Mus musculus: one gene and its partners. Each later gene encodes a partner of the first gene's protein in a complex. Links are inferred from orthologs where the notes say so. Each region holds a gene or a part of one and is shown in the gene's direction. Other genes may lie near its edges.

The links. The genes of interacting proteins can lie anywhere in the genome.
Region 2: the proteins of Xiap (region 1) and Casp7 are in contact, whole or in part, in a crystal structure (PDB 1I51), measured with the Homo sapiens proteins. The link is inferred for Mus musculus from reciprocal best matches to the Homo sapiens genes XIAP and CASP7. Residues at the interface, in NP_001158.2 of Homo sapiens: His136, Ala137, Leu140, Leu141, Gly144, Gln145, Val146, Val147, Asp148, Ile149, Ser150, Asp151; in NP_001218.1 of Homo sapiens: Tyr230, Trp232, Arg233, Ser234, Pro235, Gly236, Arg237, Trp240, Glu274, Ser275, Gln276, Asp279, His281, Phe282.
Region 3: the proteins of Xiap (region 1) and Ripk2 are in contact, whole or in part, in a cryo-EM structure (PDB 8AZA), measured with the Homo sapiens proteins. The link is inferred for Mus musculus from reciprocal best matches to the Homo sapiens genes XIAP and RIPK2. Residues at the interface, in NP_001158.2 of Homo sapiens: Lys208, Asn209, Trp210, Glu211, Pro212, Cys213; in NP_003812.1 of Homo sapiens: His136, Asn137, Met138, Thr139, Pro141, Ile208, Asp278, Glu279, Arg280, Ser282, Lys285.

The regions. Positions count from the first base shown.
Region 1 is NC_000086.7:42,098,223-42,102,747, forward strand, and holds part of Xiap (E3 ubiquitin-protein ligase XIAP), read left to right. Parts: intron 1-581; coding exon 582-660; intron 661-1,614; coding exon 1,615-1,657; intron 1,658-3,773; coding exon 3,774-3,974; intron 3,975-4,525.
Region 2 is NC_000085.6:56,431,300-56,435,824, forward strand, and holds part of Casp7 (caspase-7 precursor), read left to right. Parts: intron 1-1,942; coding exon 1,943-2,079; intron 2,080-2,502; coding exon 2,503-2,631; intron 2,632-4,525. UniProt on the Homo sapiens protein: Thiol protease involved in different programmed cell death processes, such as apoptosis, pyroptosis or granzyme-mediated programmed cell death, by proteolytically cleaving target proteins.
Region 3 is NC_000070.6:16,124,948-16,129,472, reverse strand, and holds part of Ripk2 (receptor-interacting serine/threonine-protein kinase 2), read left to right. Parts: intron 1-363; coding exon 364-450; intron 451-1,758; coding exon 1,759-1,852; intron 1,853-4,525.

The DNA.
Region 1 (4,525 bases):
AGATAGGAGAATGGGAATTTCAGGGCCTGTCTAGGCTACACATTCAAGGCCAGCCTTGGACTTCTTAGAAAGACCCTATCACAAATAAAAAGCTGTTTTTAAAAGACTGGGGTGATTTATGGTTATTCCTGCTTATAATCCTAGCATTTGGGATATGTAGGCAGGAGGTTTAGAAGTCCAAGGTCATGTTTGGCTACATAGCAAATTTGAGGCCAGCTTCAGAATGGCCTCTAATGGGAACTGATGTTATAGTTAAGTGATGGAGTGCCTGCTTAGTGTGCTCATGGCTCTTAGTTTAATCCCCAGTAACATACAAAAAAGACAAGAATGAAAAGGTTGGTTTTACTTGTTTGTCCATTGCATGGGTGGGGGATGTACATCGCATAATGCACAGTTGGCGGTCTGTACAGCCTGGAGGGGTTTGTTCTCCTCTGTGAGCTCCTGAGATTGAACTTGTCAGAAAGTGCCTTCTCTCTGGCCCCAAGATAGTTAATGGAATTGAATGCTGGAGACTGCCTTTACTAGTACTTCACTAATTTATCAGCTAGTAGAGTTTAATTTAATTTTCTTTAATCTTTTAGGTGCAAATACCTATTGGATGAGAAGGGGCAAGAATATATAAATAATATTCATTTAACCCATTCACTTGAGGAATCTTTGGTGAGTAGCTTATTGTGCAATATATTTTCAAATTCTATATTATTTGTTTTTCTTTTGTTTTCATTAATTTATTTATTCACTTTACATCCCAATATCCACTCCCCATTTCCCAGTTTCTCCCTTACACAACTTCTTCCCTCATTCTCTCCCCATCCCACCCTGCCATATCAAGTCACTGCAGCATTAGGTACATCCTCTCCTGCTGAGGCCAGACAAGGAGGCTCAGTTGGAGGAACAGGATCCACAGGCAGGCAATAGGTTTAGGAACAGCCCCCCCCACTTCAGTTGTTGGGGGACCCACATAGACCAAGCTGTACATCTACTATATATGTGCAGGGGGCATGTGTAGGTCCAGCCCATGCTTGCTCTTTGGCTGGTGATTCAGTCTCTAGGAGACTCCAATGGTCCAAGTTCATTGACTGTTAGTCTTCCTATGGTGTGTGTGTGTGTGTGTGTGTGTGTGTGTGTGTGTCTTTAGTAACCTTTTAGCAGATAATACTTCAGATTGCAAAAATAAGGACAGAGATATACGTGGGTTTTACCTTTTCTGGCTAGCATAAACAAGCCCCTGGGTTCAATCAAGATGAACAACTGTGTCTGAATTGACACAGAACAGTGGCCGTCAGAGCATTAGTATACTGAGAAGAACTTTGGACTGCAGTGGGAGTCTAGAGTGGACATGACGGTTCTACCCTTAGCTTTTAGCTGCATTTGTATTGGTTTGTTCTCCAGGGGATCGTTGGATCTCTTTGGCCCTCAGCTTCTTGTTTATAAAGGGGTGATGAGTAGATAGATAGTCTTACCTTCCTTCCATTCCGTTAGGTTATGCTCTTATGAATAGTCAGGGTTTTTAAATTAGAATAAAGCCAATTTGTTTTAAGTTTATTAACTTTTCAAATTGAGATAATTGCTTTCTGCTAAAGTGAATTCTTACCATTCATATTTCTATTTTAGGGAAGAACTGCTGAAAAAACACCATCGCTAACTAAAAAAATCGGTAAATATGCCTATTAAAAATAAATCTGTTTAGTTTTGTGGCCAATTTATTATAGTATGTTTAATGAGGCTGCTATAAATTTAAGAATTTAATGAAGTGCTTATAATTTTATTCCAGATAGTTTTGTAGTGAGAACATTAATAGAAAGCCAGGTGCTGTGGTGGAAATCTAATCCTAGCACTCACAATGTTAAAGCAGGAGAATTCTGAACTTGTGGTCAGTCTGGATTGCATGGCATGGTTTTAAGAAAGGAAGGGAGGGAGGAAAATGTATTAAAACAACAAAGAGATTAGAAGTTTAGATTTTTACATTTTTATTTACTTATTTATTTAATCTGTATGGGTGGTCAGCCTTCATATATGTGTGCCATATGCATGCCTGGTTGCCCCAGAAGCCAGGAGAGGGTGTTAGATCCCATGGGGCTGAAGTTAAAAGTAGTTGTGAGCCTCCATGTGAGTGCCAGGAATTGAACTCAGGTCCTCTGGAAGAGCCAATGTTCTTAACCTCTGAGCTATCCCAGTAGTCTGTCTACTGTGTAGGCCAGACTGGCCTGGACCTGTCTCTTTCTGCCTCAGTTTCTAAGTGCTGGGATTGGGGTGTGTGCCCCCACATGCAGCTAAAGCCGATACTGTGATGGTGTTTGTTGTTGTTTGGTGCTGGTGACTGAGCCGTGAATAGTAAGTACTCTGAGCTGCATCCACTGCAGTTAGTCCTACATTCCTCTGAAGAAACAAAGGTGATGTGATCTACCCATGGCCATGGTATAATTTCGTTTTGTTTCATTTTGTTTTTAGAGACAGGATTTCTCTGTGTACCCCTGGCTGTCATGGAAGTTGTTTTATACAACACGCTAGCCTCAACCTCACAGAGATATGCCTGCTATTGCCTCCCAATTAAATGCATGCACTATTATAAATTGTTAATAGAACTAAGCACTATAACAGGGTCTTCTAAATTCCATAGCATATTGTAGATTTAGGTTTTTTTAAGATTTATTTATTATTATATGTAAGTACACTATAGCTGTCTTCAGACACACCAGAAGAGGGCGTCAGATCTCATTATGGATGGTTGTGAGCCACCATGTGGTTGCTGGGATTTATCAGAACCTTAGAAAGAGCAGTCAGTGCTCTTAACAGCTAAGCCATCTCTCCAGCCCTAAATGTAATTTTCAGTGTGATTATGTATGGGGGTTTGGTGGTGGTGGTGGTGGTGTGGAACGGAGTTTTTCTCTATATTTCAACTGTCCTGGAACTCGCTTTGAAGAGCAGGCTGGCCTCAAACCCCCAGATACCTTCCTGCCTCTGTCTCTGTCTCCAGAGTGTTAAAATTAAAGGTGTCCACCACAACACCTGTGCACTGGTGTTTGTTTTTTTTTTTGTTTTTTTTTTGAGAAGGGTATTTTCTGTATAGACCTGGCTGTCATGGAACTCAACTCTATAGACCAGGCTGGCCTCGAACTTAGAAATCCGCTTGCCTCTGACTCACAAGTGCTAGGATTAAAGACATGCACCACCACTGCCGAGCAGACACTAGTTCTTTTGGAGTTTCCATTTGTGGGTTTTCAGTTTTTTGTTTTGTTTTGTTTTCTTGTCTATTCTTTTCTTTTAAGATGTCCTTTTTCAATTGAAGCAGTATGTTTTAATTTAGAGTATCTGGTGAGTCCCTATTCCCTAATGTTGTAACATCATCTAGGATACTACAAATATTTGTAAATATGCTTGAAATGCAGAGCTACGTTATATTATTTGGAATGGACTTGGTAGCAGGTATAAATAACCAAGTTAAATCATTTTTCTCTAGCATACTTCTTTTTGTGGTTTCTCGAGATAGGGTTTCCTGGATGTCTTGGAACTTTCTCTGTAGACTAGGCTGGCCTAGAACTCAAAGATCTGCCTGTCCCTGCCTCCTGAGTGCTGGGATTAAAGGTGTGCACGAGCACTTTTCTTTTCAGCTTTGGAAATCAAAGGCACAGCAACACATATAATAGGCAAACACTCTACTGTTGAACTTATCATCAATATGATAGTCTCAAATCCCTAAACTATTTTACTGTTTAGTTATGTTAATGAAAATACTTCTACTATGTTCTTTCTCCACCCAACTTTGATTTCAGATGATACCATCTTCCAGAATCCTATGGTGCAAGAAGCTATACGAATGGGATTTAGCTTCAAGGACATTAAGAAAACAATGGAAGAAAAAATCCAAACATCCGGGAGCAGCTATCTATCACTTGAGGTCCTGATTGCAGATCTTGTGAGTGCTCAGAAAGATAATACGGAGGATGAGTCAAGTCAAACTTCATTGCAGAAAGGTATGCATTGTTTGTTTTTATAGGAAAATTCACCTTGTAGCCCATCCATTTCCTTTATAATATCCCCATAGAATAAACACTTTTACTCTTTGAACTTAGTATTATGGTTCTCTTATTTCAATGAACAACCAAAATTACAGCAGATAAGCTACTTCTAGACAGTTTTTCTTTTATCCTTTTTTCTTTCTCTGGGTGGGGTGGGGGTTGGAGACAGCTCTGTATAGCCCTGGCTGTCCTGGAATTTGCTATGTAGACCAGGCTGGATCTCAAACTCAAGTGATCCACTTGTTTCTACCCCACAAATGCTGGGGTTAAAGGCGTGAGCCCCACACCCAGCCTGAAGGCTGATTCTTTTCTTTTTTTTTAAGATTTATTTATGTGAGTACACTGTAGCTGTGCAGATGGTTGTGAGCCTTCTTGTGGTTGCTGGGAACTGAATTTTTAAGACCTCTGCTCGCTCTGGTCAACCCCGCTCACTCAGGTGGGCCCCGCTCGCTCTGGTCAATTATTATACATAAGTACACTGTAGTTGTCTTCAGACACACCAGAAG
Region 2 (4,525 bases), on another chromosome or scaffold:
GATTTCGCATGTAACGTTTTCTCCAGCCCCTTTTTCTTATAAAAGATACTGACTGGTTTTGTTTTGCACATTCCTGGGGACCGTAATGGCCTAAGAGTCACAGCATGTCTGAGACGTGGCTGTCATCCTAGAAATTGTAGGGCTTTTAAAATTACATTTAAAATATAAGGGGGGGGGTAATTGGGGAGCTGTTGGGGGAGGGGCACGTGTGCGTAGATGCCGTGGCATGTGTGTGAAGATCAGAAGGCATCTTGCTAGAGTCACTTTTCTCCTTGCACCACGTGGAGTCCGGGGATGAAACTCAGGTCACGCTGCTGAGCCACCTGGCTAGCCCATCACCATAGGATTCTCTCCACAGAAGGTGGAAGTTGAATTGTGCCTCTTAAAGGGAATTCCTGAGTAAAGTGTTCTCCAGCCTGTGGGCCATCCTGCCACCCGCACAGTCCCAGGATAGCCTTTAGGTAGCTGTATGGTGCAGGAATTATGCCCTAAAATGAAGTTGAAGCACTAGGTTTCCCTCCTGCCTCTCGTTTTCTCTCATTTTCTTCACATCCCGGCTCTTACCAAGGCCTCTCACAGAGAGCACCAGCTAAAGCCAGTCTAGAGCTGCCTTGGTCGAGAGTTACAGGGTGAGGAACCTGTTCATGAAAGGTCTGGGATTGTGCACCAGCTTCTCCAATTTAAGTTGAGAGAGGTGAGGGAGCCCTGCCCTGGATTTCAGTATCAAAGGCAGTGTTTGTTCAAACAAGGTGCTATGTAGAAGAAGCACACACCAGGAGGCTGACTCCCAGAGAATCACATCCCAGCCAGATCTGAACTGTGCCCTTGGCCTTGGGCGTTCTCCCTGATCCTATGAAGCCCCTGTGTGCCTTTGCTTAATAGTACCATAGTTGTTTGGAGGATGGGGAAAAGTTAATGTTAATGCCATTGAAATATTCATCCATACAGAATGTATGTATACCTGGGAATTTTTACCCACCTGTGTCTGTAACCATCACCAATCCATACAAAACATACAGGGGCGGGAGAGATGGCGACTGAGTGGGTAAAGAGCTTGCTTGCAAGCCTAAGGACATGGGCTCTGGTCCTAGTACCCACATAAAAGTGAGACATTGCAGCAAGCGCCTGCAACCCAGGCACTGGTTGGCAGTTGAGAGGGTGAATCAGGGCGGCTCACTGGCAGGCCTGGCTAGCTTAAGCAGTGAGCTCCGTGTTCACAGAGAGAGCCTGTCTTTTTTAAAAGATGAAAATTAATACAGAAGACTTCTGATGTTGATGGTGTCCGTGGGTACACGCGGGTGAGCACACTTATACACGTGCACGCACACATTGTGTGCACCACATTACATACACACACCACATTTTTTTAATAAAGGAAAAAGAAATGGGGTTGGCTTTCCTCTGGCTTCTACTGTGAGGTGCTTAAGTGTGCGTGAAGTCTTTTGTTTATCGGCTCTTTGCTGTGTTCCGTCTGTGATGTTCACTCATGTGCTGCGTGCTGTCTCGGCTCATTCTCGGCCTGTTTTACCTGTTACGTGAATATTCCTCGGTTCAGCTACTTACATAAACAGAACTGCAGGCTATTTCCTGTCTGGGACAAGGTGAACAGTGTAACCCTGTCTTTTAGTAAACCTTTGCCTGACCCAAGGTTTGTGTTTGTGTAAGCTTAGTGTGTGTCCTGCCGGCCTTACCCAGTGGACCCCCACCATCCCTACAAGGGCCTGGCAGACTCCATTTCTCTCAGTGTGGCCACTCTGGGACGCACACTGCACCAGCATAATTGTGACTGTGATTTGCATTTCTTGACGTCTACTGAAATTGACCCTGGAGCCTTGTTCCATTTAAACATGACAGTGAAACAGAACCATCTGTCCACCTTGGGTCTTCAACACGGCTGCCCAGACTGCTTCCACAGCCTCTAACTGACTTTCTGTAACCCAAGGAAGAAGAAGAGAAATGCCTCTGCGGGCCCCGTCAGGACCGGCCGGGACCGAGTGCCCACTTATCTGTACCGCATGGATTTCCAGAAGATGGGTAAATGCATCATCATAAACAACAAGAACTTCGACAAAGCGACAGGTGGGTGAGGGGCCGGGCCAAGCCCTCCTGACCCTCCCACGTCCTCCGCACTTTACCAGACATTCGTCAGAGGGCGGCAGTGCCAGCGGCTCTCCATGAGAGAATTTTCAGTCTGAGGTCCCGCTATGTACTGTAGGAGCCTGCCTTAGTTGCTTTCCTGTTGCTGGGATAAAATGGCCTTTTTTTTTTTTTTCCCTTGGGTGGTTCTAGACCGTGTGACATTGACAGCCAGACCTGGCTATCCCAAGACCATGAAGAAGCTCACCTTGAGTGGAGGCTGGGTCCTTTGGAGTTTGCCTCTGGTCTCACGTGTGTGGTTGAGCTGAGAAGTGTTGTTTCTGCTTCAGGGAGTGTTGCTGGAGCCCACACGGCACCTGATCTGACTAGAGCCTGTTCACCCCACTCCTTGCCTTACCCCCACAGGTATGGACGTCCGGAATGGGACGGACAAAGATGCAGGGGCCCTCTTCAAGTGCTTCCAAAACCTGGGTTTTGAAGTAACCGTCCACAATGACTGCTCTTGTGCAAAGATGCAAGATCTGCTTAGAAAAGGTGAGTGTGAGCTGTGCTTGGTGAGTGTGAGCTGTGCCTGTCTGTCCCACCCCAGGCACCTAGAGGAACAGAGCCTAGGCTATAGAATGTTGGCCATAGACAGACTACATTGTAATTGTGTGGATGGACTTTGGACAGGGTAAGAGAGAGGCTGGAGAGTAAATTAGGGACCAGACGAGACTCCAAGAGCTATGCCCACCTCCCGGAGAGATGTGTTTACTGTATACCGGGCCTGTCCAACCTTTGAACATAGTGACAATTCATTGACATCTGCCGAGTTCATGCGCATGCACCAGGTAGAGTTACAAAGTCAGTTACAAAGAATTAGGTAAGTTTCCCACTTTGTATTGAGCCTGAGTCCATAGCTGTCCTGTGGCACAGGCTGCCCACAACCGTGAGTTGGATGTGCCTTAAAGGATGCCACTGGGGTACTCTCACACCTGGGGCACGTGCCTGAAAGTAGAATCCTACCTGCTCGTTAGACGGGACCTACACATAGCAGGGGACAACTTTCTTTAACTACAGGTCTGAAAGAGGAAGATTTTATGTGCCTTTCTTCCTTTTAATTGACTTCTCGGGGCCCAAGAGATGGCTCACTGATTAAGAGTGCACACTGCTTGTGCAGAGGCCCGAGTTCGCTCCTCAGCACCCATATTAGATGGCTCACAGCCACCCATAACGCCAGCTCCAGAAGATCAGATGCCCTCTTCTGGCTTCTGCAGGTACCTGAAAACACACACACACACACACACACACACACACACACACACACACACAGAGTTAAATATTAATATAAGTCACATAAAGTGCCTGTATGAGTGCCAGCACACAGGAGGTATGCCTGAAATGGCTGTTTATGGTATCAGCTGGTAGGTTGGTCCCTGTCACAGGCATATAAACAACCTGGTCAGGCCAGTCAGCTGTGTTCCTCTCCTAATCCCTGTACTGACAGCCGTCTGATACTCTTTCCTGTTAACTTTCTAGTTTACATGCAGGGTGATAGGTTTCACATCTGTACGCCATTGTGCTTGTTCTCATGACCCCCACTCTTCTGCTCGGTCCCCTGCCCCTCTCAGCTGCCTTCACTCCTTTTGTATCAGATGGGTCCCACCCCCACCCCCATTTATGTCTCTGCTCCCCTCTCAAGTTCTGTAACCAACGTGCACACACTTACACGAGTACACACATACAGGCTTGCAGACTTCTAAAACTAGCATCCACACACAAGAGGAAACTTGGGTCTTTGTGTCTGAACTAGCTAGTTTCCCTTAACATACAATTTCCCGGTTCTGTCCCTTTCCCTGGCAATGTCATGATTGCAGTTTTCTTCATGGCTCCACAAAGCTCCATTGTGTGTTTCCCTGGCAATGTCATGATTGCCGTTTTCTTCATGACTCCACAAAGCTCCATTGTGTGTATGGACACTCTTCCTGTATCTACTTTCGATTGATGGCACGTTCTAGCCCCTGGCTACTGTGACCCATACAACCGTAAACATGGATGTGCATGTGTGCCCATAATGCGAATCCAGGGTCCTTCCCATGTGTATTTGTTTTGCTGTTGTGATAAGTTACGCGTACTACAAAGCCACTGTCTCAATCATTTTAAAGAGAAGAGTTCAGGGGAGTTAAACACACTCATCTTGTTAGAATTCTTTTCGTCTTCCATAACCTATCTCCTAACCACTCACTGTTTCCCCTCCCCCAGCCACTGCACCATTTGCCCTTTGTGTGTGTGTGTGTGTGTGTGTGTGTGTGTGTGTGTGTGTGTGTGTGACCAGCTTATTCCTCGTGGCTTAACATTTTCTTTTCTACAACAAATGCTTGCATGCTGCTTCTTTCTGTGTATCTCACTTAAAAAGCAGTAACTGTCCCTGGACGGGACGGAGCACACC
Region 3 (4,525 bases), on another chromosome or scaffold:
ACATTGGTCCAACCTTGGTTTCTTTTCAGTACAATGAAAATAGTCATAGAAGTATAGTCCTTGCATAATAACAGTTATGGATAAATAGAGCATACAGCAAAATTGAATACCCAGCTTGAACCAAATGCTTTATTATTTCAATCTTTAAATAGTCCTGTTTGTAAGCATTAAAGATGAAGCTGCAACTCTCTTGAGATAATAGTTACTAAATCAAACAATATGGGGCAAGATGCAAAATCTATTCTCTAAGCATTTCTTGTTCTGTACTGTCTCTACCTAATTAAGTTATATATTCACAAATGATGTAAATTTTGTTTCCATTGATTTTTCTGTAAACACAAAACATGTGTATGTTCATTCCAGATACAGAGTTCCTCAAGTACTATTCACTTATGTGATAAGAAAATGGATTTATCGCTAAACATACCTGCAAATCATCCCCCACAGGAGGTATAAGTATACTTCTGTTATACTAAGCTTGGATGTGAGAACAATGTTAAAAAAAATCTTTTAGTCAGACCTCTTTTATAGCGCTGGAAAACTAAAGTCCAGGAAGCATTTATAATTAGCTAAGTAGTCATGACAATCTCTAACCTGAAATCTCACTCCACCCTCTTTGGATGATGCTCTAGGGTGGTGGGTAGGTAAATCATAGGTGATCATTTCATCACTGTTTTATAGCACCCTTCCACCTCTTACAGTAAATAATAAGTTTCTGTTGCTCTCTAAGAGTTATATCTTTAATTGGTCATTTTTATGAATCATTTTAAGATTATATATCTACTTTACAGGTTCATAAAAGTAACAGTACATTCAAAAGATCATTAAAGCACACCACATAGGTTTTTTTTACATTTGTTTACCCAGCATGTGTACATGTGTATGTATGTATGCATGTGTGTTAAAGGATAACTTGCAGGAATCCATTCTCTCCTTTACTATGTGGTTCTCAAGGATCACATTCAGGTTATCCACTTGGCTACCCACTGAAACACCACACTGACCCACAATATGTAGTTTCAAAATCACTTATATATAAAGTATCTAATTTGATCCTTGTAACAAGCTAATTTTTTATTGGATATTTTCTTTATTTACATTTCAAATGTTTTCCCCTTCCCAGGTCTTCCCTTAGGAAACCCCCTATACCATCTCCCCTCCCCCTGCCTCTATGAGAATAATAAGCTAATTTTTGATGAAACATTAAAGCCAGAGAGTTTCAATGAATATTTGGAAAGCAGTAAGCAATTCAGTGACAGAGCTAAGTGTGACGATCTCCATAGTTTCTCCAAGCATTTTTCTATGCCTTCAGGTTGAAAGAGCCTGATAACCAGCATCTACTCTAAATCAATAAATAACCACATGTTTGTTGTTCATCATTTTAGCCACAAACGTCCTCTAAATCATAATGGGTGTATAGTTATTTCCAGTACATAGCTATTGCCCCATCCCTTCCATTTGAGTTGATAAAGACATTAAATTTAGAGATTGAGGCGATAGCTCAGTGGTAAAGCACTCACCTATCATGTCTGGGGCCCTAGGTGCGACCCCTAGTAGAGAAAAGGGTGAAAAAGAAATCACATTTGTTTGTGATGGTTTTATACCTTACTTCCTTATAATTTATAGTAGTTCTAGGTTTCCTTTATTAATAACCAAGAATCTAGAAACTATAGCCATGTAATTTTAAAGACAATGCCTTTTCTACAAAACTTTATGTATACAGCTCCCCTCAACCTGTTGGTCCTCTGTTTCCTTTAGGAATCGTGTGGATCCTCTCTGCTCTCTAGAAACACTGGTTCTCCTGGACCCTCCAGATCCCTATCAGCTCCTCAAGACAAGGGATTTTTATCTGGTATGCCAGTTTTCCAGTCAGCGTGCTTACATACCTTTTTACTTTCTTTCAAATTATACCCTTGTCAGACAGATGGTGTGCGTGGAACTCATTTCTGATTTGCATTCATGATCCATTTTTTTAAAGTAACAAGGCTACATATGTAAAGGTAGCAGTAGCATGATGAACAAATATGTTTATATTAAAGGCACTCTGTAATCATGATGGAAAACTTATATATAATATATGTGTGTGTATATATATATATATATATATATATATATATCACATCACTACAGGAAACAAGACACATTCTTAAGAAAGTATTTTTTTTAATAGCTGTGTGAGGGAGCCAGTCTTAGTCCTTGTTGACAGATTATGAACTCTGGATCACTTAGCAAGTAGCTAGCAGACCCAAGACTTGAGTAATGCCAGGCTCTTTGATGAATACTTTACTTTGGCGAATGTCACTCTATTATGTCATCATGAAGACCGTATTTCTGGCTGAAAGCTGACCTCTACTTATGACAGGCATTCCGTAAAAAGAACAATATGGAGTCCAGAAGCAAGGAAACGGGTGACATGAGTAATTTAGTTTGTCTTGTAGATAGAGTAAAAATGAAGAGATAAAAGATTAAGGAGGATTACAGTGATATCTGCAAGAATTCCTAGGGACTGGAGAGAGCTCAGTGGAAAGGGTGCTTACTGTTGTTCCAGAGCAATCATGCCTGATTCCCACACAGTGTCTCAGAACTGCCACGACTGCAGCTCCAAAAGATCTCCCACCCTATTCTGGCCTCCATAGACACCAAGCATGCACAGTGCATAGACATAAATGCAGAATAAAACACTTATACATACATATATTTTTAATTAAAAAATTAATCAATTTTTAAAAAATACTACATTTCACTAATATTACTTAGGCTTCTAAATTCAGGAGGAAGTAACTCTTAAAGAAGGCTATCATATACAAATTTTTGCTTTAGGAAGGTTCATCATGGCTGGAATTAGATAAAAAAATTAAATCTCTTGTTAGGGGGTGGGGGATGGGTAGGGCTAGACCATCACAGTGCACGTGTACAGATCAGAAGTCATCTTTGAGAGTCACTTATCTCCTTCCACTGTGGAGTCTGGGAATCAGATTTAAGTGAAGCAAGCGCCTTGACCCACTGAGCCACCGTGATAGCCCTGCAGAAGCCACTTGAAGTCAAGAGGAGGCTTGGAGTCAGGGCAGTTAAAAGGGAAAACAGGGAAGGTGGTGTGAGAAATTAGGGCAACTCCCTGACACCTTCTGACTGCTTACCTGAGCTGAGGGAGGAGGCCATAAAGCTGAGTGCTACATTGTTTAGCTATGAGCACTCACAGCTGTTAGAACTAAGGACTGAGTGCTGCATTGTTAAGCTGTGAGCACTCACAGCTGTTAGAACTAAGGACTGAGTGCTGCATTGTTAAGCTGTGAGCACTCACAGCTGTTAGAACTAAGGACTGAGTGCTGCATTGTTAAGCTGTGAGCACTCACAGCTGTTAGAACTAAGGACTGAGTGCTACATTGTTAAACTGTGAGCACTCACAGCTGTTAGAACTAAGGACTGAGTGCTACATTGTTAAGCTGTGAGCACTCACAGCTGTTAGAACTAAGGACTGAGTGCTACATTGTTAAGCTGTGAGCACTCACAGCTGTTAGAACTAAGGACTGAGTGCTGCATTGTTAAGCTGTGAGCACTCACAGCTGTTAGAACTAAGGACTGAGTGCTGCATTGTTAAGCTGTGAGCACTCACAGCTGTTAGAACTAAGGACTGAGTGCTGCATTGTTAAGCTGTGAGCACTCACAGCTGTTAGAACTAAGGACTGAGTGCTGCATTGTTAAGCTGTGAGCACTCACAGCTGTTAGAACTAAGGACTGAGTGCTGCATTGTTAAGCTGTGAGCACTCACAGCTGTTAGAACTAAGGACTGAGTGCTGCATTGTTAAGCTGTGAGCACTCACAGCTGTTAGAACTAAGGACTGAGTGCTGCATTGTTAAGCTGTGAGCACTCACAGCTGTTAGAACTAAGGACTGAGTGCTACATTGTTAAGCTGTGAGCACTCACAGCTGTTAGAACTAAGGACTGAGTGCTGCATTGTTAAGCTGTGAGCACTCACAGCTGTTAGAACTAAGGACTGAGTGCTGCATTGTTAAGCTGTGAGCACTCACAGCTGTTAGAACTAAGGACTGAGTGCTGCATTGTTAAGCTGTGAGCACTCACAGCTGTTAGAACTAAGGACTGAGTGCTACATTGTTAAGCTGTGAGCACTCACAGCCGTTAGAACTAAGGACTAAAGTGGGGCTAGGGTTAAGACAGATGATGATTAAGATTTACACCTTTTTTATGTTATGTTTGTTTGAGTCTTTGAGTCGTCATCAGTGCCCTTTGGGGAGGTGATGTGCAGTGAGCCTCTGAGAATGTTGAAGGGACTGGGTGTTCAATGGTGACAGAAAGATAATTACATAAGCTTGAAGTAGGATAAACAGTTGGAGCACTGAAATTGTTTTCTAAAGGAGAAAGTAGAAAACACATGTCAAGTACAGATTTATTACACTTAAAAGTCCATGTATTTGACAGATATACATAAGACATATTTAAAGTGGAAAAGGGGGAATTCACAGGGAAGAAGTATGAGACTGTGAGAAGATGGGAAATTATGATTTA